Arabidopsis thaliana: one gene and its partners. The protein of the gene in region 3 interacts with the protein of the main gene of each other region in a pairwise test. Each region holds a gene or a part of one and is shown on either strand. Other genes may lie near its edges.

What was found.
Region 1: the proteins of AT3G07090 (region 3) and AT1G43080 interact in a protein complementation assay, tested with the Arabidopsis thaliana proteins (one large-scale study listed by BioGRID).
Region 2: the proteins of AT3G07090 (region 3) and AT2G30160 interact in a protein complementation assay, tested with the Arabidopsis thaliana proteins (one large-scale study listed by BioGRID).
Region 4: the proteins of AT3G07090 (region 3) and AT3G19120 interact in a two-hybrid assay, tested with the Arabidopsis thaliana proteins (one large-scale study listed by BioGRID).

What each region holds. Positions count from the first base shown.
Region 1 is NC_003070.9:16,211,342-16,219,528, forward strand, and holds AT1G43080 (Pectin lyase-like superfamily protein), read right to left. Parts: upstream 4,488-8,187; coding exon 4,344-4,487; intron 4,029-4,343; coding exon 3,717-4,028; intron 3,505-3,716; coding exon 2,980-3,504; intron 2,888-2,979; coding exon 2,654-2,887; downstream 1-2,653. Other genes in the region: AT1G43090 (Pectin lyase-like superfamily protein), read right to left, coding at 5,856-6,209, 6,302-6,826, 7,039-7,350, 7,666-7,809.
Region 2 is NC_003071.7:12,873,127-12,881,509, forward strand, and holds AT2G30160 (Mitochondrial substrate carrier family protein), read left to right. Parts: upstream 1-4,672; 5' UTR 4,673-4,889; coding exon 4,890-5,678; intron 5,679-6,044; coding exon 6,045-6,251; 3' UTR 6,252-6,535; downstream 6,536-8,383. Other genes in the region: UGT87A2 (UDP-Glycosyltransferase superfamily protein), read left to right, coding at 1-565; AT2G30150 (UDP-Glycosyltransferase superfamily protein), read left to right, coding at 1,532-2,024, 2,119-2,996; PBCP (Protein phosphatase 2C family protein), read right to left, coding at 6,676-6,728, 6,822-6,870, 6,948-7,030, 7,101-7,224, 7,302-7,399, 7,483-7,562, 7,652-7,804, 7,895-7,974 and 2 more.
Region 3 is NC_003074.8:2,241,005-2,249,196, forward strand, and holds AT3G07090 (PPPDE putative thiol peptidase family protein), read right to left. Parts: upstream 3,825-8,192; 5' UTR 3,753-3,824; exon of another isoform or gene 3,593-3,752; intron 3,502-3,592; 5' UTR 3,473-3,501; coding exon 3,464-3,472; intron 3,371-3,463; coding exon 3,273-3,370; intron 2,928-3,272; coding exon 2,611-2,927; intron 2,523-2,610; coding exon 2,149-2,522; 3' UTR 1,994-2,148; downstream 1-1,993. Other genes in the region: AT3G07080 (EamA-like transporter family), read left to right, coding at 356-928, 1,023-1,443, 1,608-1,930; ERMO2 (Sec23/Sec24 protein transport family protein), read right to left, coding at 4,685-4,915, 5,067-5,255, 5,341-5,663, 5,733-5,860, 5,950-6,106, 6,210-6,359, 6,470-6,701, 6,825-7,028 and 4 more.
Region 4 is NC_003074.8:6,607,329-6,615,536, forward strand, and holds AT3G19120 (PIF / Ping-Pong family of plant transposase), read right to left. Parts: upstream 3,811-8,208; 5' UTR 3,691-3,810; coding exon 2,350-3,690; 3' UTR 2,022-2,349; downstream 1-2,021. Other genes in the region: AT3G19100 (Protein kinase superfamily protein), read left to right, coding at 1-99, 202-577, 685-797, 905-1,012, 1,092-1,154, 1,249-1,416, 1,509-1,652; RBP47B (RNA-binding protein 47B), read right to left, coding at 4,070-4,186, 4,523-4,616, 4,730-4,860, 4,944-5,026, 5,203-5,686, 6,097-6,495; DNF (RING/U-box superfamily protein), read right to left, coding at 7,582-8,007.

The DNA of each region.
Region 1 (8,187 bases), on a different chromosome or scaffold from region 3:
AGAGACCATAAAAGAGAGGTGAAGACTCCAAGAAAAGGGGGCTAGAGATTCTACATTTTCACCATAAATCGTAATATTAAACATTGTTATTTTCTGATAAATACACAAAAGATTACTTCTTCCCTTTTTATGTAAGATCTTTATACAAGAAATACTATACCACTTTTTATGTACAAATTCTTCCTGCATTTCCATGGTTACCCTTAAAATATTTGGATCTTCTTATTCATTTCACCACTCCAAATAGCTGACTCTCATCTTTAGACCAGTTTCCTCACACCCTAACCTAAGCCTTCTTTCAAGTCATATATCACTTGTGAGTGTTTGTTAGGTCTTATTTCGATTAAGCTTGGTAGAAAGTGTTAGGTTCGTAACGACAAAGATAGTATCTCATATAGTTCTAGTTCGCGTTATCCGGACTAGATAAGACTAGGTGGATACTTATACTAAGGGTTGGGAAGAGTTTAAATGAGAAAAAGGGTTGGGTTTCATTGTTTACAATAAAAGGGAAAAGGATTTTAGGAGAAGTAAGCTAAAGAAGTTAGAAAAAGTCTAGTAAAGGGTTTGAGATTGTTAAATAAAAAGATTGGGTTATTGTTAGCTAATGAAAAAGGGTAAAAACCTTAAGCTTAAAAGAGATTAAAAACAGAACCTTAGTGCTGAAGAAAGCCAAACCCGCTAGAAATATCGAAGAAAAAAAAAAGATTCTCCTAGAGTTAAGAGAAAAAGAAAAGAATGGGTTAAGAAAGAGTTTAAAAGATCATGAATGCAAAGGGTAGAGTTAAGTTCTTAATTGGGATGGGAGATGGGATTTCCATTAGATCTTCATTGATTATACTTTGGGTAGATGAGATCTTATCTTTGTATGCATAATTTGGGACTTACCTTTAGCATTCTACTAAAGCTTAATCATTCTTGAGAGATCCCTTGTTACTAAAGCTTATTCTTTTAAAGGACCATTTTTGTCTCTTGACCCTTTACCCTTAGTCAAATGAGTTTAATATGGATTGTATAGTATGATCCATGGTTCTTGCTTAATGAATGTTAAAGGGAGTATGCTGATTTGAATGCTTGAATAGACTAAGTTAATGGTTAGGTCGTGTTGTAAAGAAGATGGCTAAAGTTTTTAAGTAGAGATCATTCAACCTAGCACTCTAGAACTACCAACATGGACATTGAGACCATTTATTTTACATGCATATTTTGGTTCTAAATCCCCACCTTCGAACCTCACTCCTAGCCTAGTTCTATTTGTTGCTTGAGGAAAAGCAAAGAGCTAAGTTTGGGGGTGTTAATAACACTAGGTTTTAACCATTTTCAGCCCTTGTTTTTCATGCATTTAGCTTAGTTTCATGTCTCTTTTCATACATTCTTAGTTCATTTTCCTTCCTTTTCACATTTTGCATTGCATTGCATAGCATACTTGCATTTGGAGTGTTTTACATGTGAATCAGGTACTTTTGGATTCAATTTGGGCGTTTCTATCACAAGGAGTGGACTAGCTCGAGTTTGTGCAATCCAAGGAAGGACATGGAGTATACTCGGGATATCTAATCGGCTGGAGATCGAGTGGAGCACACAAGGGAGAAGGAAGAACTATACTCGGCCAATCTACTCGGCAGGAGCTCGAGTGGTGCACATGAGGAAGAAGGGAAGCTGCTCAATTGAAGGTACTCGGCCTAAAGCCGAGTGATGTGACCAAAGGAGGCTACTCGACTTTTCTACTCGACCAAGACCCGAGTGGTGCAACGCCGACTTTCCCATTTTGTCTTTTTCCCAATTAGGGCATCCTAGTATTGCCTATAAATAGACCTCTTATATTTTTATCCAAAATATCTTTGATTTGTTCGCTGGATATTAGGGTTCTTAGATTTTTTTTGCATTTTCTGGTTGTTGTGTTGAGAATCTGAATTTCATTTCTTCTGCAAACTTGTTTATCTTATTGAGATCTATCATTTGCTAAGTTTATAATGATTTCTGGGTTTTATGATTTTTTCTGAATTTTGTTCTATGATGTTCTTCATTGATCTTGAGTAGTCTTCTTCAGAGTTCTTGAGGATGGGTTAGGTTTAGGTGGATTCCTCTGTTCTTTAGCTAGCTAAGTGTTTATATGCATGATTCCCTTCTGTTTTAGGAGTTCTTAATGCTATTTTCTTTCTGATCAATTGAAAATTGATTTCAGACTTTCTCCACCTAATAAGTGTTTGATGAAATGTCTGAACCAACTAATTTCAGAGATTTGTAGACTCTAGCCCAAGACATTGGATGTTTAGACTGCTTATTGATTTTAATAGATTGGTGTTTAAAGCCTGCTTTATTATGTTTCATCAATGAAAGTTGAGATTAGGAAGTGATAAAGTTATGAGGATCATTGTCATGAAAGTGGATTGATCTGGTTTTGAATCTATTGTCTAGGGATAGCTTGATTTAGTTTGTTAGTTAGCTAATGGATTCAGAAGTTAAAAATTTAACCGTTCTGTCGTAGATTTGTTTTGTTGTAGAAAGAACTATTCATTAAGAATTTGTATGTGTGATCATGATATCATATAAACAAGAACATAAAACATAAAATATATACAAAAATTAGGCAATAATATGTAACTAAAAATATCATGTATAACTCAAAAGGTTATTTTTTCGATGGACCATTGAGTCAATCTAGACAATGTTGAGGAACCATCTTACTACGTACAGAACCGTCAACATTCTCGCACATCGCTGTGGAATGACCTTTCTCGAGTCCAGTATGCTTTAGGTTAATATCAATTAGTTCAACATTCTTGCACGGAAAGCTCTTGCTACATTGTAGATTCACTGCCACTATGTTATTCGACGTTCCATATATGTTTTTTAACTTAATGTCTTGGATCTGAACGTGAGACTCACCCTGAACAAGGAAACACAAGTTGTCTTTTGTTTTATATTTCATTGTGATTGAAGAAAAAAATAACCAAGCTTGTTCATGCATATAATGTTAACCTTTTTTTCATGTTCACAAGGTGGGTGAGGGCAATACTTCTGATCAATGTTGATCGGTTTTCCAACGTCAATCATCTGAATATTCTCGTATATGAAGTTAGAAACTACGATTTTTGAAGCCGAAGATTCCCAAGTCTTGATCCGAATACCATCGCTTGTGCCGTTGAAAACTGTGTCTCTTACCGTTAAGTGCTTTACGTCTTTCTCGTCTTTGTTCTTCCCTAAGCTTCCAACACTGATCCCATGTCCAGGACCACACTTGATGTTAGAGATATCAAGGTTAGTGGTCCCAGAGAGAATGGCAATACAATCATCTCCGGTACCGATGTTTGTGTTTGAGATGTGAATGTTGCTACAAGAACCCATTTTGATACCGTCAGTATTTGGGCTATCACCGGGAGCTGTTATAGTGACGCCGGTAATGTTGAAGCGATGGACAGAGAAGAAGTTAAAGTGTCCCATTTTGCTGTTGAGTGATGTTATGTCTTTGATTCTTGAGTTGTTCACGAATGCAAATCCCATAGTCTGTAAACATTTCAAATTTTATCATATCACTAGAAACAAAGAGTAGATACTTCAATTCATTTGTATATAATAAATATATATGGTTAAAAAATAAATGATCAAAATATACTTGTTACCATTGTATAATACAGTTTCAATGTAAACAATATATAATCATATTTTCTCAAACAAGAAATATATTATAAAAAGAAAAGCTTAAGAAGAAACGGTACCATAGCTAGTTTAGGACAATTAGTGTTTTTGTGGCAGTCATTGAGTGGCCAAGAGTATTTTCCTTGGCCGTCAAGTGTACCGGAACCGGAGATAGAGAGATTGTTGATGTACCGGAAGTTGATCCATGTGTCCTGCTTAATGTCCCTAGGGTTTGCAGGAGCCAATAAAGTTCCATCGATGACAAATTCAATAGGATTTTTGCATGGACCCACAAACTCTACACCACCGAGATAGAATGTTCCTTTCGGTACGTAGATTTTACTACTTCCACTTATCCTTGTGCATGCACGTTTCCATACACTTGTGAATGCCTAATTTTGTATATGTTAAGAATAAGATAGGTTAATTATTAAACAAAAAAATCCATAGAAGTTGATAAAAGATTTAGTTAAATTTAATTGGTTAATATAATACCAATCCATATATTGTTATGTAGAAAGTCAAGAAGATTTATATATACTATCATATCAAAATGTTTTTTCAACATATATTATTAGATTATTTAAATGTATTTTGATATTGAGTTGAGCTTATTTCAATGTATTTGGAAGCCAATATAAATTGGGAATCAACAAAACTAAATAAATAACTATTAACATTGATTAGAAAAGTTATTGTGTACATACATTGGCATTATCAGTTTTTCCGTCTGGTCTAGAACCATAGCGTCGGACGTTGAAAACCTTTGGTCTGATAGTCGGACGACTTGCAACAGCAATGAACAAGAAAGACAAACACAAAGCTTTAAACGTAGAAGCGATGGAGACCATCTTATTCTTTTGTTTGGGTATATGGAGATATAACAAAAAGGTGCTGTTTAATAATAGTTGTTCTTATAGTGTAAGACACAATGAGAAGTGTTCGCACATTTTATCTATTTATATAGAGTTAACATGTCTCAACAGACTGTTAAAAGCACTTGATTATTGTTATCAGTTAACTACTAAATATGGGCGGCTTCTTTATAATGATCGTGATTGGTTAATATACTGTTATGATGATTTTTTGAGTGTATATTGTTTAGTTTTTAATCTCTTCATTAAAACAGAATCTTAATTTTGGGAAATGTGCCAATAAGATTACCTATAATTTGTTTCTTTTTTTAATGGGTTTTAATTTAAATTGCATAAAACCAAAATGTTTTCGAAATGATTTCTTTGTGGATTTTATTTTTATTTTGATGGATACTAAACTTTAGTATTTACATTATTTTGTAAACTTGTATTTATTCAAAATTTTCATAAGATATAACGATTAAATTGCTACACGCATTTGCATGCCTAAAATTGCATATCTCCATTACTCTACTTGATGTTTTTTATTCATAAATCACAACATGCTAGTAAAATGAATATATAATTACTTACTAGATTAAATAATTAATGAAAATTTTCACTTTCTTAATATCATAAAAAACAAATTGCGGTCTCTAAACGAAAAGTACAAGAAAATACAAAGGTGATAATAAAAATTTCAAATTGTTTCTATGTGAACAATCAAAATGTTTCTTAATTATATTCTTCTTCTTCATCTTTTTCGGCAATCTCGATGTCTCTCTGATCTGTCAGTCAAGGTCCTTCTTGGCGATTTAGTAAGTAGGTGATGGAAGTCGTTGCCCTTCCGGTGTAAAATTCTCCTTGCGATGTACGACGGCATTTTGTGAACTTTGCGTTGCCTAAACACATGATATACATTATTGTGTCATGCTATTTGCCAATATTTTGGGTAATGGAGGAGGCTCGAGCTTTGATTTTTAATTCACAAAAACTTATGACATCAATAAATAATTTAAATATAGGGAAATTTTCTAATAGCACATTTAAATTAAAAACACTTATAAATAGTTTTTAATTAAACATATTTTTATAAGTAAGTATGAGAAGAAAAAGATAATAGTTTTTCAATTGTTTATTAGAATTATATAAACATTTAAATTAAAATTATTTAATAAAAGTTACAATAAACCGAACAAACCTTAAAAGATATTTATTGAGATTTTCCTTATTAGTTTGATTCTAGTAAAGTGTAATTGTTACTAAGTATGATGGTAAAATTATTGGAAGTTAAACATTTAACCGTTCTTTCTTAGATTTGTTTTGTTGTAGAATGAACTATTCATTAAGAATTTGTATGTGTGATCATGATATCATATAAACAAGAACATAAAACATAAAATATATACAAAAATTAGGCAATAATATGTAACTAAAAATATCATGTATAACCCAAAAGGTTATTTTTTCGATGGACCATTGAGTCAATCTAGACAATGTTGAGGAACCATTCTTACCACGTACAGAACCGTCAACATTCTCGCACATCGCTGTGGAATGACCTTTCTCGAGTCCAGTATGCTTTAGGTTAATATCAATTAGTTCAACATTCTTGCACGGAAAGCTCTTGCTACATTGTAGATTCACTGCCACTATGTTATTCGACGTTCCATATATGTTTTTTAACTTAATGTCTTGGATCTGAACGTGAGACTTACCCTGAACAAGGAAACACAAGTTGTCTTTTGTTTTATATTTCATTGTAATTGAAGAAAAAAATAACCAAGCTTGTTCATGCATATAATGTTAACCTTTTTTTCATGTTCACAAGGTGGGTGAGGGCAATACTTCTGATCAATGTTGATCGGTTTTCCAACGTCAATCATCTGAATATTCTCGTATATGAAGTTAGAAACTACGAGTTTTGAAGCCGAAGATTCCCAAGTCTTGATCCGAATACCATCGCTTGTGCCGTTGAAAACTGTGTCTCTTACCGTTAAGTGCTTTACGTCTTTCTCGTCTTTGTTCTTCCCTAAGCTTCCAACACTGATCCCATGTCCAGGACCACACTTGACGTTAGAGATATCAAGGTTAGTGGTCCCAGAGAGAATGGCAATACAATCATCTCCGGTACCGATGTTTGTGTTTGAGATGTGAATGTTGCTACAAGAACCCATTTTGATACCGTCAGTATTTGGGCTATCACCGGGAGCTGTTATAGTGACGCCGGTAATGTTGAAGCGATGGACAGAGAAGAAGTTAAAGTGTCCCATTTTGCTGTTGAGTGATGTTATGTCTTTGATTCTTGAGTTGTTCACGAATGCAAATCCCATAGTCTGTAAACATTTCAAATTTTATCATATCACTAGAAACAAAGAGTAGATACTTCAATTCATTTGTGTATAATAAATATATATGGTTCAAAAATAAATGATCAAAATATACTTGTTACCATTGTATAATACAGTTTCATTGTAAATAATATATAATCATATTTTCTCAAAGAAGAAATATATTATAAAAAGAAAAGCGTAAGAAAAAATGGTACCATAGCTAGTTTAGGACAATTGGTGTTTTTGTGGCAGTCATTGAGTGGCCAAGAGTATTTTCCTTGGCCGTCAAGTGTACCGGAACCGGAGATAGAGAGATTGTTGATGTACCGGAAGTTGATCCATGTGTCCTGCTTAATGTCCCTAGGGTTTGCAGGAGCCAATAAAGTTCCATCGATGACAAATTCAATAGGATTTTTGCATGGACCCACAAACTCTACACCACCGAGGTAGAATGTTCCTTTCGGTACGTAGATTTTACTACTTCCACTTATCCTTGTGCATGCATGTTTCCATACACTTGTGAATGCCTAATTTTGTTTATGTTAAGAATAAGATAGGTTAATTATTAAACAAAAAAATCCATAGAAGTTGATAAAAGATTTAGTTAAATTTAATTGGTTAATATAATACCAATCCATATATTGTTATGTAGAAAGTCAAGAAGATTTATATATACTATCATATCAAAATGTTTTTTCAACATATATTATTAGATTATTTAAATGTATTTTGATATTGAGTTGAGCTTATTTCAATGTATTTGGAAGCCAATATAAATTGGGAATCAACAAAACTAAATAAATAACTATTAACATTTATTAGAAAAGTTATTGTGTACATACATTGGCATTATCAGTTTTTCCGTCTGGTCTAGAACCATAGCGTCGGACGTTGAAAACCTTTGGTCTGATAGTCGGACGACTTGCAACAACAATGAACAAGAAAGACAAACACAAAGCTTTAAACGTAGAAGCGATGGAGACCATCTTATTCTTTTGTTTGGGTCTATGGAGATATAACAAAAAGGTGCTGTTTAATAATAGTTGTTCTTATAGTGTAAGACACAATGAGAAGTGTTCGCACATTTTATCTATTTATATAGAGTTAACATGTCTCAACAGACTGTTAAAAGCACTTGATTATTGTTATCAGTTAACTACTAAATATGGGCGGCTTCTTTATAATGATCGTGATTGGTTAATATACTGTTATGATGATTTTTTGAGTGTATATTGTTTAGTTTTTAATCTCTTCATTAAAACAGAATCTTAATTTTGGGAAATGTGCCAATAAGATTACCTATAATTTGTTTCTTTTTTTAATGGGTTTTAATTTAAATTGCATAAAACCAAAATGTTTTCGAA
Region 2 (8,383 bases), on a different chromosome or scaffold from region 3:
AGGCTCTGTTCTTTACATATCTCAGGGAAGTTTTCTTTCGGTCTCGGAAGCTCAGATGGAGGAAATAGTGAAAGGACTGAGAGAAAGTGGAGTCCGGTTTCTTTGGGTGGCTCGTGGGGGCGAGTTAAAGCTTAAGGAGGCTCTTGAAGGTAGCTTAGGTGTAGTGGTGAGCTGGTGTGATCAGCTTCGGGTGCTGTGTCACAAAGCTGTAGGCGGGTTTTGGACTCATTGCGGGTTTAACTCGACATTGGAAGGGATATATTCAGGAGTACCAATGCTAGCGTTTCCGTTGTTTTGGGATCAGATTCTGAACGCTAAGATGATTGTTGAGGACTGGAGAGTCGGAATGAGGATCGAGAGGACGAAAAAGAATGAGTTGTTGATAGGGAGAGAGGAGATCAAGGAAGTAGTGAAGAGGTTTATGGATAGAGAGAGTGAAGAAGGGAAAGAGATGAGAAGAAGGGCTTGTGACCTTAGTGAAATCAGTCGAGGAGCTGTTGCGAAAAGCGGTTCGTCTAATGTAAACATCGATGAGTTCGTTCGGCATATTACCAATACAAATTAAGGCTCAAAGAGGTTTTATTGTTTCAATACAATGTAAGGCTCAATGGCATGCTCACTAAATCATATGTATCTTTTGAATGACTAAAAAGTAAAAACCACCACCAAATTATAGCTAAATCAATTTCTTACCATATGTCAAAAATTTATAGAAATTCTAATGGTGGGAAAGCTCCCCGCTTATGCATTATGCATCATCATTTTGCTTGCTTATAATCTAAAATGATGCTTTCTCATTAATCAAACCCCAAGACGTCACAAAATACCCAAAACACATCAAAAATACAAGGAAAAGAAAAAGAGAACAAAATTGAAGCAAAACTTAAAACGGGATTTATTATGAGGCCTATCTCTACAATTCACGAAATGATCATACATCTTATTTTTTTGGTAGGTGAGAATAGACAATTGTCTCTCGCAATTTATTAAACTGCAACTAAAAAGAATATTACAACCGAACATGACCTGAGAACTCTGCCTCTAACATAATCGAGTGGACTACATTAGGAGAAGAGTCCAATGAATGAAATTAAACCTAACAGCACTGAAGAAAACACATTGTTATCAAAAAATTTACAACTATGTAGATTTTTTTTGTCAACTAGATTGTTATTCTGTTAGTTATAAACAGAATGATAACAATCTCCCTAATTTGTCTTAATTAAAAAAAAAAAAAAAATTAGCCATGTGTTGTTTTCTTAAACAGTCTGTTTCTTGGGATTAGGTTTTGTTTCTTTAAAAAGCACACCGGTCACTTGAGTGTCTAAAAACGTTATAAAAAACAACAAATGTGATAATCAGCAAAAACAGCTTGAAAGAGAAGTAGACACAATCATTAACATTATGGGTAATGGCCTAAACAATTGGACCACGTTTGTTGTAAAAGCTATCCTCTGCACTCTGCAGCTTTCTCAGTCCTCACTTCTCTCACCCACAAAGTCACAGTAACCAGAAACACGTTCCACATCCTATGAATCCAATCAAACCTCAGCCACTCGGAGTCCGCCACGTGGTGGCCATGCCTTGGCCAGGAAGAGGCCACATCAACCCAATGTTAAACCTCTGCAAAAGCCTCGTCCGGCGAGACCCAAACCTCACCGTCACATTCGTCGTCACCGAAGAATGGCTCGGGTTCATCGGGTCCGACCCGAAACCTAACCGGATCCATTTCGCCACTCTCCCCAACATCATTCCCTCCGAGCTCGTCCGAGCCAACGACTTCATCGCCTTCATCGACGCCGTCCTCACCAGATTAGAAGAGCCGTTCGAACAGCTACTTGACCGTCTAAACTCTCCTCCCACCGCAATCATCGCCGATACTTACATCATTTGGGCAGTACGTGTAGGCACAAAAAGGAATATTCCGGTGGCTTCTTTCTGGACTACGTCAGCCACGATTCTCTCCCTCTTCATTAACTCCGATCTTCTCGCAAGTCACGGCCATTTTCCGATCGAACCATCAGGTAGTTACAAAGTTCCCATTTTTACTGATCAAAACCGTAAAGTTCAATACTTTCATCCATAATTAGTGATTTCTGAATCCGGGTTTGTTTCCAGAATCAAAACTAGACGAGATTGTTGATTACATCCCCGGTTTATCTCCGACAAGACTCAGTGACTTACAGATCTTACACGGCTATAGTCATCAAGTCTTCAATATATTCAAAAAGTCTTTCGGTGAGCTTTATAAAGCTAAGTATCTTCTCTTCCCTTCTGCTTATGAGCTCGAACCAAAAGCCATTGACTTTTTCACTTCCAAGTTTGATTTCCCGGTTTACTCCACTGGTCCGTTAATACCCTTGGAAGAACTATCCGTTGGAAATGAGAATAGAGAACTTGATTACTTTAAGTGGCTTGATGAGCAACCTGAAAGCTCTGTTCTTTACATATCTCAAGGGAGTTTTCTTTCAGTCTCCGAAGCTCAGATGGAGGAGATTGTTGTAGGAGTTAGAGAGGCTGGAGTTAAGTTCTTTTGGGTGGCTCGTGGGGGTGAGTTAAAGCTTAAGGAGGCTCTTGAAGGTAGCTTGGGTGTTGTGGTGAGCTGGTGTGATCAGCTACGTGTTTTGTGTCATGCGGCTATAGGCGGGTTTTGGACGCATTGCGGGTATAACTCGACATTGGAAGGGATATGTTCGGGAGTACCGTTGCTTACATTTCCTGTTTTTTGGGATCAGTTTCTGAATGCTAAGATGATTGTTGAGGAGTGGAGAGTTGGAATGGGGATCGAGAGGAAGAAGCAGATGGAGTTGTTGATAGTGAGTGATGAGATCAAGGAATTGGTAAAAAGGTTTATGGATGGAGAGAGTGAAGAAGGGAAAGAGATGAGAAGAAGGACTTGTGATCTCAGTGAGATATGTCGTGGAGCGGTTGCGAAAGGTGGTTCTTCTGATGCTAACATCGATGCTTTCATTAAAGATATTACTAAGATCGTGTGAGTTCTATTGTTGTTAATGATTCAAGTCTATATTAGTATTTGTATAAGTTTGTTAAAGATTCAAACTTTGTAGAGATTTAAGATTGTTTGTAAAACTGTTATTTATAAGTTCATTTGTTAGACTCTTTGGTAGAGCTTAATCTCGTGTGTGCCTAATTTTTGTTTGACTTTGGAAATGAATTGTGAGGAGACAAATATAGAAAATAATTTATGAAATGAATTGATTTTGGTAAAGCTTACTGGCTGATTGGTTACACTATAGCTGTAGATTATTTGCTGTAGAATATTGGATGTAAGTGTAAGCTGTAGCTGTAGATTTGTAAAGATTTTATTCAGTTTGTTAGAGAAAATACTCCAATTCTGCATAAAATTCTAAAATCTGATCTTAATAGGAATGATTTTCACACATCTCATGTTTTATCTACCAATATTTTAACATATTTTGCAGTAAATTTAATATTTTACTTGATATCTAATGCTTTAGGACAATTTTTTTTTTACTTTATTTTTGATTTGAGTTCTTCGTTTTTAAGAATTATCGGTTTATAAATAACTAGATTCTGACCCGCACGTATACGTGCGGGGTTTCATATTTTTAAAAATGTATTGGAATATATTTTTAGTGAAAGATATTATAGTGTATAAATTATAATATGCATAAAAAGTGTAAAGTGTTATTTATGATAAAATAGCTATTTTTTGTAATTTATATTATTTATATTTTATTTGTATTTTGCATAGTAAATAGATTGTTAGATTTGTTTCGATTTGTAGAATAATATAGAGATATTTAGAAAATTTGTGTATTTTTGTTAGTTTGATGTATATATAAATTGATTGTTTTTGTTTGAAATTTGATCAATTAGATGATATAATGTAAAATTTTCTCCGTGGTACACCTTTGGTCGATTTTTTTGTAACTAAAAATTCAAATTTTAAGATATAGTTATTTTGTAAATATTGTTTATTTTGTTTAATGTTTAAGAATATATAATTATGTTATAATTATTAATTCTAAAATTTCACTCGTAGATTATCGTCCTTTATTAATATCAACTCAAACTCATCCCACCATATAATTTCATTCCGTAAAATGAAAAATTATTTTGTTATTTTAAATATTGTTATTGTAATATAATAAAAAAATCGAGGGATTGACATGTGGTACATCTTGGATTAATATATTTAAAAATAATTTGTATATTTAAAAATCGAGGGATTGGGTAATTATGAATATATTGATTTTAAAGTCGATTTTTTAAAAGAACAAAATCCAAGATATTTATTTTGTTGTAGTGATTGTTAATTTACTAAACTACCCATGCAAAAATTCATTTACTTAATTTTAAACTACCCTTACAATGTTGTAGTTCATACAATACTTCTCAATTAATAATATAGATAACACTTATTAGTTTTCAAGGGATAAATTTTTTTCCACTTGTGTACATTTAAATTCTACCAAAGTTTTAAAAATTTACGATGACAAAAAAATAATATTCGTATTCATAATATAAACATAATCTAATAAGTTTTTTTGGTTAGGTTCATATCGCTTAAATTAAAGTACGATTTAAAAAAAAAAAAAAAGTAAAAAAGTACGTTTTTGTTTTGGTAAAAAACACTAAAGAGGCAAAAACGTAAAAAGGCAAAAAATATATTTTTACTTGGGGAAAAAGATGTTAAAGCCCACAAGACAAGGCAGAGGTTTCTCCCATGCTTTGTCTTTAGTTTAACCGCCGCATCCTCTCTCTCTGGTCGGAGAAATCTCCAGATTTGGTCATTTCTCCAATCTTCTCGGAACCCTAATTTAACCAAACCTCTCCTCCTTCAGATTCATCTTCCTCCTAATCTCCCTAAAAGCTCAAACCTTTCTCTCAATCAATTCTAAACAATGGCAACAGAAGCAACAACCAAATTCCCAGAATCCGATCTCCGTCCAATCCCACAACCACCGGATTTTCATCCAGCAATCATCGTTCCAGCTCAAAACACAACTCTTAAATTCTGGCAACTAATGGTCGCCGGTTCAATCGCTGGCTCAGTCGAACACATGGCTATGTTTCCAGTAGATACAGTCAAAACCCATATGCAAGCTCTTCGTTCATGTCCGATTAAACCAATCGGAATCCGTCAAGCTTTCCGTTCAATTATCAAAACCGATGGACCTTCTGCTTTATATAGAGGTATTTGGGCTATGGGACTTGGTGCTGGACCAGCTCACGCTGTTTATTTCTCATTCTATGAAGTCTCTAAGAAGTTTTTATCCGGTGGAAACCCTAATAACTCTGCTGCACACGCTATTTCCGGTGTTTTCGCTACTATATCTAGTGATGCTGTGTTTACTCCAATGGATATGGTTAAGCAAAGGTTGCAAATTGGGAATGGAACTTATAAAGGAGTTTGGGATTGTATCAAGAGAGTAACGCGTGAGGAAGGGTTTGGTGCTTTTTACGCTTCGTATAGAACTACTGTGTTGATGAATGCTCCGTTTACCGCTGTGCATTTCACTACTTATGAGGCGGTTAAGAGAGGTTTGAGGGAGATGTTGCCTGAGCATGCTGTTGGAGCAGAGGATGAGGAAGGTTGGTTGATTTATGCTACTGCTGGAGCTGCGGCTGGTGGGTTAGCGGCTGCTGTAACTACTCCGCTTGATGTTGTTAAGACGCAGTTGCAATGTCAGGTGATTGAAATATCTCTAAAGCTACTGACTTTTAAGTATCTGATAGCTAATGTGGTTATAGATTGGCCAAGCTACTTTAAGTAGTTGTCTCTTGATCCTATAGATCACTTGAATGAAGAAAGATATCTTCTTTCTTCTCTTTGGATATTTTGTGATTTCACGAGTATGATTTTATAGGTAACATGTAGATTGCATCAAGCATTGTTAGAACTATGGTCATAAAACTTAATATTACTGAATTTACATGTGAAAGTCGCATAGATAATGTTTCTATATTTGTGGTTTAGAATACTTGGTCAATAGCTATTTCATAGGATTTGGGTTGTTTTGTTTGTTCTGAGAAGTTTGTTTGTGGTGATGTTTCAGGGTGTGTGTGGTTGTGACCGTTTCAAGAGCAGTTCAATAAGCGATGTGTTCCGTACAATAGTGAAGAAAGACGGTTATAGAGGACTTGCTAGAGGATGGCTACCAAGAATGCTCTTCCATGCTCCAGCAGCTGCGATTTGCTGGTCCACTTATGAAACAGTCAAATCTTTCTTTCAAGATCTCAATGGTGAAGCAAACGCAGCTTGAAAAGACACAAACATACATGCGTTTGGCATAATTTACTTGCCTGATTCAGGTCATTGATTCTTCATAGAGCTAGCTACTGGTTGGTTAGTATTAACACTAGCTCTTAGAGAAGATCTCTGTTTGTATAATTTATTTGTTTTCTTCACGCAATAATGTTATCAGATTAGAGTTACAACAACCCCAAGGCCTTTTTTCTGGTTTGCATTGATAGAGAAATTTTGTACTTTTATTTGTTTTAATGAGAAAGATACTATAAAGAGATAGATGAGCTTAAAGAGTGTCCATTCACAAGGTCAATGATAAAGATTCGATTCTTATTGTTTGAACTTTGAAATACCATTTATCAATTTCTGTGAAGAACAAGTTTCTTACAAGGACTTGTACAAAAAGAATAAAGAGAAGATCTTATCATGAACAGAGTGATTCATGAGCTAACAACTTTGGCAACGATCACAGTGACATCATCAAGCTTCCCTCCTGCAATTTTCAGAACCAGAGATCTCAACTAAGAAACTACTCTTGTTTAGTATAATATGTCAGGATAATGCATCAACATTGTTGTTTATTTACCTGTAAGCTTCTTTCCTAGTACCTTCTTCCAGAGAGGAACATCAAACCCCTGCACATATACGTTGATTCAGATATACTTTGCGTGAACTGGTAAAATTCATTCTTAGATCAAGTTAAAAATCTTACCTTGGCTCTTGCTTCTAATGCATATGGAGACTCAAACTCTGTATCTCTTGAATGGCTACTCGCCACTTCAGCTAATAACCTTGCTGTAATGGTTATACCAAAAAACATGTAACTTACTAAAAATCAAGAGAGATGGTATATACATATACATACATGACTCTGCAACATCTGTATGCTTGGTCACTATAGAAACGATCTCATGATCAAACACATTATCGAAAAGTCCGTCTGAACCCATCACGATCACGTCTCCCTTCTGTACTTCCACTATGCTAAACTGCTTGAAATGCAAAAAAAATGATACAAAGGTACAATACTAGCACAAATCATGAAGAGTGGTAAGGATTTATTTACCGATGCATCTAGATAAGTTTGAGCAGACCCCTCAGAGCTTAGTTGGTAAGGACAGTCAAAATAGTGCTCTTGTGGAGCAGTGGCAAAAATAATCTGACCTGAAAATGAGAATGAAAGAAGAAGATCTTTGTCAAAGGCTGAACATGAAAACAATCTAGCATCTTAGGTTACAGTGTAGTACCTTCCCGAAGAAGCTTAAGTCCACAGTCACCAACATTGCCTATTTTGAGAATACCCACTTCCTCAAGCATAGCTAGAATACTGCTTTCATCAATAACCGGGACATCAAGCTATCCAAAAAGGGAACAAAAACCAATCTTTGAAGAGAATAACAATCAAATCTCACTCACATTGTGGCAGAACCTCTAGAAGTAGTTGCGGTATGAGCTTTGTCAATGAGAAAACCAGGATCATATCTGACCTCTTGGTCATCAACTAAACGAGAAGCGTTAGCCATAAGTTCTTTAGAGAACAAGGAAGGATCAACATCTTGTTCAGCCCAACTGAGACAGAAAAAAATATAAACTTTATCAACATTAAGATAAACCCACAAAGAAACTCAAAAGTTAGCATAACCAAAAGCTAAAGCTTACCCGGAGACACCATCTGCAACAGCCATGACTCCACCTCTATAACTACTTACAAAGAAAGCATCTTCACCACCTTTCTCTACCTATATAATTTCGACACTAGATGTCGATTTTAATTGCATAAATATTCTCTAAGCAAATCCAAATTCATTACATCCAAAGAAGAAAAACAGAGACTTTGGTCTGGTGTTACCTTATCTGGATGAGGGATTGCGTGAATTCCGACAGATAAAGAGAGTTCAGGCCTAAAGGAAAATGCAAACATATTTTGACAAATGAGTTCTCAGTTTCGAACAACGTAAACTCGAAATAGTACAAGAGAGAGCAGAGACCGAAGTGGTTGGATTTCTGATGGAGCACAGCGACAGAGGAAGTCAACGCGACTAGGGTTTGGATGTGAGAGACGAAGCGATGGTATTGCGTGAGGAACCATCATTCTCGTCACTGGAATCGCCATTTCCTGCAATGGCTTGCTCTCTCGTTCTCTTTCAA
Region 3 (8,192 bases):
AATCTCTCTTCTCTCTCGCTCTCTCATTGGCGCTGTTTATCTGAATTCGATACCTTTTTGTTTTTTCTTTGGTAAATAAATATCTGATTTCGCTTTTGAATCGCCATTGGTTGAACAATTTGACGCCGATCTAGATTTCTGTCGCTGTGAAGGTAGTGTCCTGTTTTTCCGATCAATTGGTTTGTTCCGATCGTTTCTCGTTTACGCTTTTTGTTATCCTTGAGAAATTTTACGTTGCAAGAGAGATCTTTGATTCATGGGTGTTGAAGCATTCGTGTTAAAATGTATGATTGATCTTAATCAGTGAGATCGGTGAGCTCAAGTTCTGTGTTTTGTAATTGAGATTCGAAGAGGTATGTCAACAAAGTTATGGAGATGGGTGTTAGGGCTGATATACCTATTTGCCGTTGCCACGATTTGGATTGCGGCTAGTTTTGTAGTCCAGTCTGTGGTGGAAGCTGGTGTTTCTCCGTTCTTGATCACTTTCATTTGTAATTCATTGTTCGTTGTTTATCTTCCCCTTTTTGAGATTGGTCGATATCTGGAAGATGCATATGGGAGTTTATTGTTCTGGAGAAGCAAAAGGTCGCATTTAATGGAACTGGTCGAATCAGAGAAGGCTGTTTTGCTTGGAAAAGATGTTTCTGGTGTGAAATCAGATGCTACTGAGAGTTCAGGGCTTGTTGTGAGAGAGCAAGAGATTAGTGAGGGTGGTAATGGGATTGAATCTGGATTGGAAAATATAGAGCTTGAGATTGATGCTAGTGTCAATGTTAGTGATGGAGCTAGTGGAGTTTCTAATAAAGGATTAGATGAGAAGGGTCGTTGGACAAGGATGCGAGTTGCTAAAGTTAGCCTTGTGATTTGTCCGTTTTGGTTTTTGGCGCAGCTTACATTTAATGTCTCTCTCAAGTACACAACAGTTACGGTAAGAACATATTGGACACCCATCATCTTGTTGCTTATTCTGAATCTACTAAATGTTTTGCTGAAGTTTTTTTTTCATTTTTGTGTGTTTGCAGTCAAATACCATATTAAGCAGTGCATCAAGCCTTTTCACCTTTCTTGTTTCACTAATATTCTTGGGTGAGAAGTTCACATGGTTGAAACTCTTCAGCGTTCTTCTTTGTATGTCTGGGACTATAATTGTAAGTATGGGTGACTCAGAGTCCAAGTCAAATGCAGTAGCTAAGAACCCTCTTTTGGGAGATATTCTTTCGCTGGTCTCAGCGGCGCTGTATGCTGTCTACATCACTCTTATACGCAAAAAGCTTCCGGATGATGATGAAAGAAACGGCCGGGTCAGTATGGCTCAGTTCCTCGGGTTTCTTGGTCTCTTCAATTTCTTCATTTTCCTTCCTCCTGCTCTAATACTCAACTTCACAAAGCGAGAACGCTTCAACGCACTTACCTTGAAACAATTTGGCCTAGTTGTTGGCAAAGGTATGCAAACACCATCCCTTATTTCCGCTATTGTCTCCTTGAAGCTATTGGTCAATAAATCACATTTTCTCATATCAATGGGAATTGATGGCACAAGTAGTAAATTAGGATTGATGTAGGAATGCCGATTTGAAAGACTAATGTGTGTTTCATCACAACTGCAGGTTTGTTAGATAATGTGCTTAGTGACTATCTGTGGGCAAAGGCAGTACTATTGACAACAACCACTGTAGCTACAGCTGGGCTAACTATTCAGGTCCCATTGGCAGCCATTGTAGACAGCTTATCAGGGAACAAACCAAGCTTCACCGACTACATTGGTGCTGCAGCTGTTATGGTTGGCTTTGCAGGGATTAATATTCCCTCAGAGATGTTTTGCAAATCCAAAGAGACTGCTATTGAGTTAGAACCTGGGACTTCGTTCACAGATCCTCCTCCGATTGTGCCAGATAGCATAAGAGTAGATTCTTCACTGACTGTAGTATAAGCCTAAATTGTTCCAAATTCAAAAGCCACAATTCTTGTAAAATCTTTTTTTTTTCTCTTGTTTACTGCTCTTTTCCTCTTTTATGATAATTAATTTGTAGATCGTTGAACATAATACACGAAATACAGCTGAAGGCAATAGTGTAATGAAATCGTTCAAGATTCTGGACTTAGTTTCAAGACAGTAAAAATAAAATGTTTCATCTCTCTGTTATTGCACTAAGCGTTTACATTGAGATGTCCGTACTTTTGCATGACTCTTTTTGTCGCCATAGCAGCTGCTTCACTTGCTCGTAATGTGCCTTGTGCCATTAGAGCTGCAAATTCGCTTGTAATCTCTTCCTGAATCTTGGCCCTAGCATCACCCAACGGGTCGTCCTTGACCTTCTCTTTACTAGCTGATGGTTGAATAACAGGTGGCACTTTCTCAGTTGCAGTTGAGGTTTCTGCTGCCTCGAGCTTAGGAGCTATCACAATTTGTGGGCCATCATCTTTACTAAAAGCTCCAAAAGGTTGTGGCTGTGGCCTAAACTGTGGAACTTGAGGAACAGCACCAGCCTTTAGAGTTGTTTCGAGGCCTTGCAACATAGGCACTGCAAAATGGGGATATGAAATTAGAACAATAATGTAGCCGAGAAAGAAGAGGTTCAAGGAAGGTGTCGCAAGTTATCAGCGACTTACTTATAAGACCACCCATGGGACTGTTTAGAACATCATTAGGAAGCTGGAGAATGTAGTCAGGAATCCCTTTACCCACCAAAAACTGAGCGACCTCGTTGCTGAAGTTGTTGCAGTTGTGAGTAAGTAAATTGTAGGATTCAGCAGTGTAACGAGGACTGATTTCTTCCAAGTACATCTCGAATACATCTTTAGGCACATGTGATAGACCCAACTCTATCGTTCGAATTGGTGTTCCATATGGAGTTCTTCCAACTGGTAAATGTTGTATCCCTCCTCCAAAAAAGTACTCATTCCCATAGACAACTATTCCTGTATGCCTGGAAAAAGGATACATAACTCACATGTTATCTACCTGGTTTAACATCAAAGTAATATCCTAAAAGAGTAAAAAGCAAAACACCTAAACAATAAGCAGGTTAATTCATATTTCTCAAGGAAAACCACACTCGGTTGATATTAAAAGCAGAAGCTTAGACACATTTACATACACCAACCAGTCATGCCAATATCTTTTACATTGGGTTAACTGCAACCATGTTCAACAGCTAAAACAATAATATCAAACCCTATGAATGGCACTACACAGGACAAATGTTCAAAACAAATTTGGCATATACAACACAACAGATCAAATACGAACATGTGACAGAGATTTGACTCACCATACACCTTCAATAACCTTTCCCAGGAGTGATTGTGAGAGCTGGCGTGCCAAGCCTTGGCTTAAATCATAGACATTCAATGTTACCTTATGCGCTTCCTGCCATATCACATATATCACCAATTTCAATCAAACTAACAACGAGGCAACGCAATTAACTACGAACCAGAAATGAAAAAAAGAGAATCATACCTCAGCCATTGTCAAAGTCCTTGAAACACGTTAACTACCTGAAGAAAAAAAAAATCAAAATCAAAATTTACAATCGCAATGATCTAAGACCTGAGCAACAAGAATGATTCCGAACAAACTATATCAGACCTACAAAAGAATTTCCGCAAATCTTAAGACCAAATCCATAATCGATTCCGAACAAAAAAGAACTAGTATCCGCAAATAGAAAATCCAAATCTAGAAACAATCGGGAACACATAATTGATAAAATTGATAGCGAGAAAGCGAGGGAGATTTGATCACGTACAAACAAAATACGTAAACTGGCCGCTCGGAAAATTGTCGATATGCGCAAATCTGAAAGATTTCTTGGATAGCAATGGTTCAGAGAGGTTTGTTATAAAGGCAAGCTATTGGGAGATTCGAAGATTCCTCTACGACGTCGTTTAAGCTACTTTGACCCCTATACCGACGACCGCTTTTATTCTGTAACCTTCTAGAAAGTACCATCCAATAAGACATTGCCACGTCTATTTTCCCCGTCCCGGTTCAACCGACCAGAATCTTTGAATCAGAATTACAGCAGTTAAAAATTGAAATCCTAATTTATCTATTTGTGATTGCAGGAACAGTTGGTCTTACAGCGATCAATCACCGTATTGTTTATGTATGAACTTTACCGATGTATACCAACGATGCGTTTCATCCAAATCTAAGGTTTTCACAACATTATTTATTCATAAAAATATTTTAAAATTTTAACAGTAGCATCTTCTTGTTAATAACCCTAATTAGGACAGATTCATGAACTGCAACTCCCAAAATAAATCTAGAACAGACGCACATCAACAAAAAATCGAATGAGGACAAAAAAAAAAGGCAACAAAAGATTTAAAAAACGACTAATCTTACGGAGATAACCATTCTGGTTAGGCAAATAAAAGCCTAATCTTGAGAAAAAAGGTCTATATAGAAAAACAAATGAAGAAAAATCAAAAAGTAGCACTTCTTTATCCAAAACAACACATTATGGCCCAAGGAAGAAGGCCGCCATGATCCTGCTTAAGTAGAAGATTTTTGAGCTCAAGAGTTCTTCAATGGTTACAAAGAGGTGGCATCCTAGCACCCGAGTTGTCTGAAAGTAAAACCGCTTCATAAGATGCGTCGAACATGATGTGGTACTTTAAGCATGTTATTGGAAGTATTATGATGGTTTTTTCCTTACCATTGTGAGCTATCTTAGTTTTGTTGAACTTGGCGGTGAAGTTGTAGAATCCAATCGACATAACCACTCGAACCGCCCATCTGGTCCTCAATGAGATTTCTGAGGAGAAGGAAGCCTTCTCGGGGTTGTTCTCCTTGTCTCACTAGAAAACACATGGGGTGATATGAAGGATCACTCTCCCTCAGTTTCTTTACCAACCTCATTAGCTTCTTTGACATCCCATTCTCTTGCTCTTGAAAGGTAACCTAAGAGACCCAACACGAAGAAAGACAAGGGTTTCACACATATTATCATGTTTCAAATTCTTGAAAAACACTAATGATGCATATACATCATCGAATGTACCGCCTGTTCATATATTCATATGTAAGGATATATGTGGATAAAAATACATACCCTTGAGAGGTCTGCTGCAAAGTCAACCCCAAGAAGATTTTTAGCAATGTCAGGTGAAAGCATCCGGCCAAACCACAAAACTAATCGAAAACCATCATCATATATGTAAAGGCCTCTAGAATCCAAACTCTCTGCAGCCAGCGGCAATCTCCTTAATACGTCTTTAAAGTCATCGTGGGCTGCTGATGGCTGCAAGCATGTGAATTCACAAATTATTTACTATTTCTTGAACACTGATGTTTGATAATGGACATTGAGATAAAAATACACAAACCTTTAAGAGCCATTCGTCAACACGGAATAAATTGGGATACAAAAGCTTCAATAGCTTTTTGACAGGCAGAGCCATCATGGTGAAGCCTGCAGCACAGCGCTCATCAAGAGAAGTATCAGCAGGTCCACCTAGAAGAGGAGTGGACTTAGTAATTGCCAATCCGTACAATGGCAAGAACTTCAGAGACTCTGGGTATACTAATCTGGACCCCAAGCGATGCTGCACCGCGTGAAGATTACGATATTCTTTGAGGGCTTTAACAATCTTTTGCTGTATTGCATTCCGTGCATCATCCAATTTTGCGGACAAAGATTTCTCAATTGCTGCAGAATTTAAATTGTCATTAAATAGTATCAAAAGTAGCATATGAAAAAAATTTGAATATAGCTTACCTAATCTAGCATATAAAGACACAATGGAACCAGTGTCTGCTTGTCTATACATCTCCCCAAGATCTGTAACCACTGGTGCAACAGATGTGTGTACCCTTATACGTCTCTCTCCACAAGAGGCGGTATATCTTAGTTCTGTTAAGGATTACTAAAAGCTAAATGATGTGTTGTATGTTTAAACTCAAGTATGTTTAAAATATCAACTATTCAAGGATACAGCAAAGCCACTTGGAAATACACAGTCTGGGATGTTAGCAAAGTCTCCTCAAGAGATAGCTGCATTGCATACGCTTTGTCACAGTCAACAGCAGGAAGAGCAAGCAGGTCAGTAGACCTTAGCATGAAGTTCCCATGGTAGGACGAGAAACGAATTCCTGCATGCAAAAATATATAAGATCACAAGTAGCACACCAATGCATTAGCAAATATTGACATAGCAGGTAGCAAAAACGAATATATTATCATAAACTATTAAACCTTTTCCACATCTTATTCGCATAACCGCCTCCCACGCAGTTTCCCTTGTAAGGTCTCTAGCAAGCTCGTGTCTTAACTTATCTCCATGAACAGATGATTGGAAACCTGGATAATAGTACACCTGTCCTCCAGTGTATTTTGCCAGAGTCCCTTCAAGAAACCAAAGAATTGTAATTACAGGCTGATAAACTTAACTATCACCCATGACTCCAAACAGCTGAAATAAAAAACATCAACTGATAACCTCAACGTTCACATACCTAATGAGGCAATATCAGTGTACTTATCACTGAATGCATAAACATTAATTCCTATCTGGAACTTGGTACAATCAGCAGCCATTTGTTTATAGAAGGGATCTTCAGCTACCCTTAATGCATATTCTTTGTCAGTTCCATAGACACGAGGATCATCTCCCCGCAACTTTAACCTCCCAGCACCAAGAGAAGGTAATGAGTTCTGGAAAATTAGTAACTTGCCCCCAAGTTGGTTCTGAAATAGGGAGAGAAACAGAGTCAACAAACTGATCCACATTTCAGATGAGGATCTAAATAGGACACTCAACATCAAATGAATTATATGATATTATCTTGATATGTCAGGATGGTAACTAACCATAACCATAAACGCCGCTCTGAGGGCTGGGCCAAAAGCTGATTCCACATTGAAATTATCTTGAAACATCAAAGGTAGACTGTCCAAAAAGGCGTCCACCACAGTTCTAGATTCAGATAGATTTACAAGCAGATCGTCTGGCAATGGGACAAAGATATCATCTAGATCTGATACAACCATCATCTGCGGCTGGCTCAAAGATGACTGCATTGCCAAAGTCCACAAAAAAAAAATTATGGAGGCTAAAGAATTTCAAAACAAAAGTTCCTGTGAGTTTACAATTCTCTTACCTTCATGTTGTAAAAATGTAACGTGCTGTCATAAGTAATAAATCCAATTTGAGTTCTTGGATAACCAGGCAGGTTATCCAAACAAGACTTAATCGTTTGAGCAACAACCTGCGAAGGAGCAAAAGGTCAGTGTAAGATCTATATTATACGAAAGCTTCCATATGAAGAGAGAGAGCCACTAAGCTAGACAAAGAAACAAGAACAGTCTAGATGATCCATTAATACGTAGTATATTCAGATAAAATCACACAAGAATTAGCACTTACTAATTATGGAACAGTAAAGCCCATTTCCAGCAAAATTACAAAGTGGGATATTCAAATCGATCATGCTTACCTCAAGCATTCCACTTTTAGTAGCCGAAATCGAAACATCAATGAGGAAGAAGTAGATAGGTGGCATCGGAGGCCGAACCATGTATTCAGTTGGAGCTATGATTTCAACACTGCCTTTAGTCAGCTCAGGTCGTTGATCCATATCCATTCTTCGGCCAGTAGCATCCAAATGTGAGAAGTATTCACCAGGCACTGAACAAGAAATTTAAACCCATAACTATGAATAGTCATCTTATAAATATATGCCTGAAAGTATTGAAGTTCTAGCATCATCGATCAAATGATTTATGGAAAAAGAAATTTTTGACAAATTACCATCATTAAGCATCGAACATATATTACACCGCCACTTTCTTCCAGAATCTGTAAAAGTCACAAAAGGATTCACATAGGTACGGCATCTTCTGCAGCGGATGATGCCAGTTGAGCCAAAATCAATAAGTGGTACCTCCTCCTGAACAGATAAAATGACAATTTGCAAAGAAAGGCAAAGTTATATGTGGCACTAGAACATGAAAGAATCGCAAAGACATTCTTGTTAATAATAACGGAAACTAACCCCTTCAGGAGTCTCAGCAAGTGGACAAACCACAGCTCCTAGAGGTAAATGCCACCTTGAAGCCAGAGACTGGGAATTTGGTATAGCACTAGTCGTCAGTCGTAGATATCTAGAATGGCAATTCATTGGGTACATTTCAGCAAATGAATTTGGCTCCACGTCACCATCCAATGGCCTTGGGAAT
Region 4 (8,208 bases), 4.4 Mb from region 3:
TACTCTGAAGATGATGCAAAAGCAGTGCTTATACAGATCCTTAACGTCGTAGCTTTCTGTCATCTCCAAGGAGTTGTTCATCGAGATCTAAAACCAGAGGTGAACCGCACTTTTTGTCTTTGCTTTTTCCTTTCAAAACCCAAAAGAAATATTGTCTTAGTTGAATACCAATCTCACATTTGAAACACTTTCATGTTTCAGAACTTCTTGTACACTTCCAAGGAGGAGAATTCTATGTTGAAAGTCATAGATTTTGGCTTATCGGACTTTGTCAGACCAGACGAAAGACTAAATGATATAGTGGGAAGTGCATATTACGTAGCCCCTGAAGTTCTACACAGATCTTATACCACAGAAGCGGATGTATGGAGCATAGGAGTCATAGCATACATTCTCCTATGTGGAAGCCGTCCTTTTTGGGCAAGAACTGAATCAGGAATTTTCAGAGCAGTTCTAAAAGCTGATCCCAGTTTTGATGAACCTCCTTGGCCTTCGTTATCCTTTGAGGCAAAAGATTTTGTTAAGAGATTATTGTACAAGGACCCTCGGAAAAGAATGACTGCATCTCAAGCTTTGAGTCAGTAATCTCTAAAATATCCACATCTTTCTATATTTATCTTCTGTTTCTAGCTTTTCATGAATCACCAGTTGAAGTTACTCCACGTTTTTTTCCGGTTTTTACAGTGCATCCTTGGATCGCGGGTTATAAGAAAATAGATATCCCATTTGATATTCTGATCTTCAAGCAGATCAAAGCATACTTGAGATCTTCGTCTTTGCGCAAAGCTGCTTTGATGGTACATTTTGCTTCTAACCTTTTTTACTGTTTCCAAACAACATTTAAGGATGTGTTTGATATTTATTACCTTTGTATCTAGTTTGCTAACTCTTTTATTCTCTCCAGGCTCTGTCCAAGACATTAACTACCGATGAACTTCTTTATCTGAAAGCGCAGTTTGCACACTTAGCACCCAACAAAAATGGCCTCATCACTTTAGATAGCATCAGACTGGTATGTGCCTTCTCTTCCTCTCTGTCTCTCTCTGGTAGAAAGCAAACAGCTCAAAGCTAGATTTATTTCTGTTGGACAGGCACTTGCGACAAATGCAACAGAAGCAATGAAGGAATCACGGATCCCGGACTTTCTTGCATTGGTATTGTCTCCTTTCTGTTCTTGTCCTTTTGCTTAATCTGTTTAAGATACAATCCAAGGTTGGTTAACGAAAGTTTGGTGTTGGGAAATGACAGTTAAATGGACTTCAATACAAAGGGATGGATTTTGAAGAGTTTTGTGCAGCTTCCATTAGCGTTCATCAGCATGAGTCTCTTGATTGTTGGGAGCAGAGCATTCGTCATGCTTATGAGCTATTTGAAATGAATGGAAACCGAGTTATCGTCATCGAAGAACTCGCTTCTGTAAGTTTATAAGAAATTCGACACTTGCTTCTGTCATGCTTAACAATTTATTCAGCTAATTCCTAAACGAAGGGAACATAAATGTTTTGTAGGAACTTGGTGTTGGATCATCCATCCCGGTTCATACCATTCTAAATGACTGGATAAGACATACTGACGGGAAGCTGAGTTTCTTGGGTTTTGTCAAACTGCTGCACGGTGTCTCGACTCGACAATCTTTAGCGAAAACGCGATGAGGAAAGTGACTCGGTGTTATAACGGATTCGAAAGAGGAAGAACATACAACTGCAAGAAGCAAATGGGTGGATTGGGGTTGGGAATTGGAATTTTTTTCAGGACCCATTCCTATGTTTATAGTGTTAGAAAAAGAATGCTAAGTTCCGACAAAGAAAGAGAGTATCCAGAAAAATCCGACAGGCCTGGAGAGTTGTATAATAAGATGATAATCCACAGTCGTGTTCTTCCAAATCATGGAAGACAGATATTAAGAACATCCCTTTCTCTTTTCATTTGGCTGTCTCCATTTTTTCCAGGAAAAAGATTCAGATTCCATTCACAATGTGCCACAAAGCAAATCATAAAAACCCATTCCTAAGTCACAAAACTTACAGTAACAGAGAGCTATTAATATTTCAAATTCGGAAAAACTTGCTTCTCAAGATTCCATAATCCATATCAATAGAAGTCATACATTTCATTCTCAAAAGGTGTTACAGAACAAACCATAAACCCATTCCTAAGTTACAAAACTGACAGTTGGGATGGCTAGGCAACAAAGTCAGCTTTTTAACATTTCTGAATCCTCAAACTTTCTTCTCAAGAGGATTGAATCTACAATGCTATCTAAAGTTCTAAACACTTGAAAGCATCTGCTTCTTACATGATAACAAAGATAGAAAGCTCCATTTTTTGACCAAGATCTGTTCATGTCTTTTACCTCGAGGAGAGTCTCTGGTGTAAATCTTCTGCCAATGCTTGCCTCAAACTCTCCCCGTAATAGTAAAACTGCCTCTCACTCTCCAAAACTCTTGCAGGCGTTCCAGCTTCATCTGGATCCTTCCAAATCTCCGGTTCAGGTTCTCTAGCAATCTGACAAAGATTATGCAACACACAACAAGCCACAATAGTCTGAGGAGCATGGTTCACACCAACATTCAAACTCTGAAGAATCTTCCATCTAGCCTTGAGCAATCCAATAGCTTCCACCACCACTGACCTTCCTTTCATCAACATTCCATCGAATAGATTCTCCGGTGGCGTACCAGAGCCATTTGGTGAAAATGGAGTCATCAGGAATGAGAGAAGAGGATAACACCAATCTCCAACAATGTATGGTCTCACATGGTGACCTCTAATATTGATAACTTTCTCCCAAACAATGTCTCCTGAAGTAAGCCTCTTATATAGAAGACTATCTCTGAAATGAGAAGAGTCGTCTTCTCCACCTGGAGCTTTCACACAAACGTCCCAAAAGATCTTCTTGTGATCAGCAACAACCTGAAGCAAAACGGCGTCGTATCCGTACTTGCAACCGTAAATGTTTCTAGGGTTTAGTTTCGTGCGGCGTCTGAGCTTCACCGGAGTACTATCAATGGCGCCGCAAATGTTGGGGAGAGAGGTGAGTTCTTCGAATCCCTGAGTCGTTTCGATCAATCTCCGTTTTCCGACGGGGATTTTGATGAATTCTGGATATAGCTTGGTGGCTAAGAGACGTGTGACCATGTTTGTGATCTTGGAGATGAGGTATGGATCTAGTGAGTAGCGAGAAGCTAGGGTTTTAGCTGAGCAGCCATGAGCGAGACGAGAGAGGACCATAGCGACGGCGTAATCGGCGGGGAGAGAGAGATTTGAAGCGGTGATGAATGGTTTGAGCTTGTCGACGACGGTGATGAAGACTGGGTAGGAAAGACCGTACAATGAGCGCCAACGAGCGTCGCGGAGAGGCGCATCGAGTGACCAGATGTGGTCTGTGGTTAGGGCACGGAAGGCAGCGACGGAGTAATCGCCGTCGGCAAGAGGCGGAGGAGGGGAAGGGGAAGGTGATTCTGAGGAAGATGAGGATTCGGTTGAAGATCTGTTGACGGCGAGGAAGGAGAGGAGAGATGCGAGAGTGAAGAAGAGTAAAGGCGCGGCGGAGGAAGTGGAGAGGAGGGAGGAAGGTGTGGTTGAAGACTGTGAAGATGTGGATGCGGAAGAGAAGAGAGTGCTTGTAGGATCTAATGAGTTTTGGAGATGGAGAAGATGTGAGAGCATCGCCATGAAAGCTTCTTCCATCTTCACTCTCCGATTTTTTTCTCTCCGGAGAGGTTGAGAGTAGAAGAAAAACTGAAGAAGTGAGAGAGAAAGGGCTAATAGCTAAAAATTTAAAATTAATGTGAGTTAATAAATATAATTTTAAAGTTTTGGGGTTGTTTGTTTAATTTCAGAAAGTTTTGGGCTTATAAGCAATTCGTAGAAGGTAAGCGGAATTTTGATCCAACAAGTTGCAACCATTTATATTAGTCTGAGACAAACCAGTAACCAAAATTTTTGAATCTCCTCCAAACAACAAGTCTATCAAAATCAAATCCATCTAACAAAATTCTTCTTTCGACTACAGGTTTTAGCTTTGATATGTGAAACCATGATGAAGATGATCACTTGATGAGTCTCTTCAATTCTCCCCATGATAGTTGTTGGAGTCGTGGTGGTTAGCATATCCTCCTCCATTGTTGTAACCATGTCCTCGTGAGTATCCTCCATTCCACTGCTGCCCTGAGTCTCCTCTCCACTGCCACAAGTTGAACACATTATGAGAACTAAAAAGAAATCTATTGCCAGCAGAACCAATTTGGTTAAGTCCTAGACCAAAACATGTCGACATAAGACCATGTTCAGGGTTGGTGACACAAGTTGGACATGGAGACATGTATTAGATATTCTCCCACTTGCATAAGTCAAAATAGAAAACGAAGGGAAGGTGCTAGATTCCACCAGCTATTATTGTCAACCACTGACTTTACTTTTAATAACAAAACAAACAACTATTCACAAAGTTTGACCCTAGCAAAATACTCAATTTACTCTTCTACTGATAGAATGCATCAACTCCAAAGTGAAATTTTACCTGCTTGTTTGGGCTTCGTCCCCAGGAGAGTCTGACAGTGTTCTTGCCGATGACTGTCCCGTTCAAACTCTCGATAGCATCTTCAGCACTCTTCCTGTCAAAACCAAAGGCAAGTCGCTTTGAATTACTCGCTATGAGATAAGCACCTACAGGTTGCTCAATCATATGATTGCCAAGCCAACACTACTAACTAGATGAAGACAGCACCTGTCAGCAAATTGGACAAATCCACATCCTTTCCCTACTGGGATCTTCACTGAAACAACCTCTCCAAACTGGGAAAAAGGTTGTCTGAGGTCTTCATCAATAACATCAGGGTCAATGCCGCCAACAAATATCTGCAGTAGAATAACCTAAGATGAGCAGCAAGAACATATAGAGCTTGAATGATGCTGACATATAACTAAATATGACAACTCACTGTTGCGTTAGTTGATTCGCCATCAGACTGCGAGCCATAACCCATGGAACCATTTGATCCATGTCCACCAGCCAGAATCACAGCTATTCCAATGAAAACATAAAATCTTTATAGTTCAAAAACTTTGTTGAATGCAACAAGTTGTTAGCTCTAGAGTCCTATGGATTAAAACTGGCTCACCTCTCGCTTAAAACTAGTACACTTAAATAGAAAGAATCAGAGGGTAAAACTAGTTGCAGAGAGAAGTATGAAAAGAAACCTTGTGAAGAATGTTGTTGCTGATTAGCAATCGCTCTTTTGGGAGTTGCAATACCTACACGCATTTGCCTGTTCGAACAGTAAGCTCCATTCATTTCTGTCAAAGCCCTTGACCTCTCATTTTCATCACCGAACCTCACAAAACCATAACCTTTGGACCGGCCGGTGTTGGAATCAATCACAACTTTGGCGCTTTTGACAGAAGGATATCTATCAGAAAAGGTCTCATGCAATAAAACGTCAGTGACATCTGGAGACAAGTCTCCCACAAAAACAGATAGGTCTGGACCATTTTCCACTGCTCTTTTTTCACCAGTACTAAAAGATGCCCAGTTTATACGGAAGGGTTGGTCCGAGTTTGGCATCACTGAACCACTATAGTTCTGAAGAACTTCTTCAGCTGCAGCACGTGAAAGAAACTCAACAAACCCATACCCTTCTGATTGAGAAGTGAGCTTGTTACGTATAACTTTCACAGAAGAAACCTGCTCATCACAAAAAAAAACAAGAAACTTCAGAGAAAGAACAAAACAGAACACATGTATAACTGGATATAAGTTTATTCATGAAAAGTGAAAATCTTATGCAATCATTCTCTTTCATACCAGAAAAGTTTTAACTAAACGTGGCAAGGTACAAGAGTACTTTTTGCCTAACGAAATATGAACTTGTCCTGTCCTTTTCAGGTCAAAGTTGTTCTCCATTACCCTATTTGTTTCTATATCCATTGGATCTAATCTAATCCAACTAACTAGTTTTTTAAAATAGCTACTTGGTTTAACAATGAATCAAAACACAAGAACATGTCAATGATTTGCAAAAAGGATGAATTTTTAACCATATTTACAAGTAACAATCTAAATCCAAAACAGAGTACCAATGAACAAGATAATACCTCGCCGGTGTGAGAAAAGCAAGAATGGAGATAAGTCTCATCCATCCAATGAAGAAGATCACCAACCCAAAGAGTCTTGACATCATCTCCAGATCCACGGTCAATAGCCTTGTGTTGCTGGTGCTGGTGCTGTTGATAAGACCCGTATTGGTGAAGCTGAGGATGATGCTGCTGATAAGGACCTTGATTATACGGAACATATTGATGAGGATACATCAGCATCTGTTGCTGCTGCATCATCATCATCGCCGCCGCTGGTGGATATTGCATGGCAGCCATCCACTGTTGCTGTTGCTGTTGCTGCTGCTGCCACTGCTGAGGTGGAGGAGGGGTTTGTTGATTCGGCGGTGTGGCTCCGGAAGTTGCCAACGTCGAATCTGAGCCGTTGGTTGTCTGCATCTTGATCCGATCTGATCTCCGGAAAGGGAAAACAGAGTCTCCGAGTTGTTTTAGATTCAAGAGTTTCGAGATTCTTCTTCTCTATGAATATATTTCGTTCCAACAAGTGTGCGTAAAGAAAGTGAGAGCTCGTTGAGCTCTGGTAATGGCGGAGAGAGAGATAGAGGTAGAGAGAGATTTGGTCTTAAAAGGAGGCGGAGAGAGAGAGAGAGAAGTGAGTTAATGGGTTTAAGGCTGAAACAATGGGTCTTGGGGAAGTGGCCGAAACGTGGGGCCCATTTACGTGCTTAAGCCGTGTTGTTTTTTGAGATCGACGGCTCTGATTCCACCGCATTTAGCCACTTACATTTAATTATTTCACCTTCTAGGGTTTTTAAAATATAACTGACTTTTTAATCATTGGGTAAAAACAAAAACATATTTACGTGATAATATGATTAACCGTTTTGTACTGTCATGAAAGAGTCAGCTGTTCTACAGTAAACTCTAGGCCTATGCAAATTAACCGAGCCGTTTTACTGTTCTACAGTAAATTTTAAAAGTATGTAAATTAACCGAATCGGATGTATCGAACCGGAACTAAAGTAAAAAAAAAAAAAAATTACATTAAACCAAAGATTCGAAAAAAAACAGAATAGATATTTTAGAATCGGTACCAAACCGATATAAAATACAATTATATATCCAAAACAAAAGTTATTTATAAACTAAATAATAAAAATATTTGAGAATATATAAAATCATAAAAATATTCAAAAATAAAAGAAAAATATCCATAAAATAATTGAAATATCTAAAGTAAAATATTTGAATGGATACTAAATGATAAAACTTAAAGAACTGAACCAAAACCAAACCAAAATTTTAAATTAGTTGAATGAATACTAAATTATATAACCGAAACGAATGGAACCGATAGTCGTTTGGATAACCGAACGTCAGGACTAGTGAATCCAAAAAAAAAAAAGAATTAGATATGGGCCTTATACTCAACACCTGTTTAAAACAGAGGTTTTGAAAAAACCATATTTTTATATCTCGTTCCACTGCATCTCTATGCAACCATCCTCAAATCTTCTTGTATGCCTAACCGGAATTAGGGTTTGGACTAAGAGAAAGTTCGTGATTTTGGATTTCTTCAACGTTCTTTCTGCAGTTAGGGCAAGTATAGTCTGAATGAAGCCATGTGTCAGTAAAATCAAAGTGAAAGCAATGATTACAACTAGGTAAAACCCTGGCTTTGTCTTCGTCGATGAACTTTGATAGACAAACGACGCATTCGATATTGTCTTTGAAGGCATTAGCGTTGAAAGATACGACAGGAATTGATAAAAGAACGGAAGGGTTGATCCCAGTGGCTTTTATGACATGTAAACTATGACTAGGATGAATCAGATGATCATCGTCACCTTTGTTGCAATAAGCAAGACAACAACGAAATATAGAATAAAACACAGTCAGAATCGCGAAGAATGTGCGAGATCGTACAGCTTCGAGAGCATCTTCGTTCATCTTAAAAACTTTTGCAATATCAATCTCTCAAATTAATAACCTTTTTATAGGTATGTATTAAGGGATTAATATTGAAACCAGATCCTAATTCAGTTCTAATTAATAATCCAAAAATTCGATAGATTAAAGAAAGTATTGGGTCTGAAACAAAGCCCCCAGGGCCCAAAACTAGAGCAACCACAAGTTCGTTCTTTTAAAGAT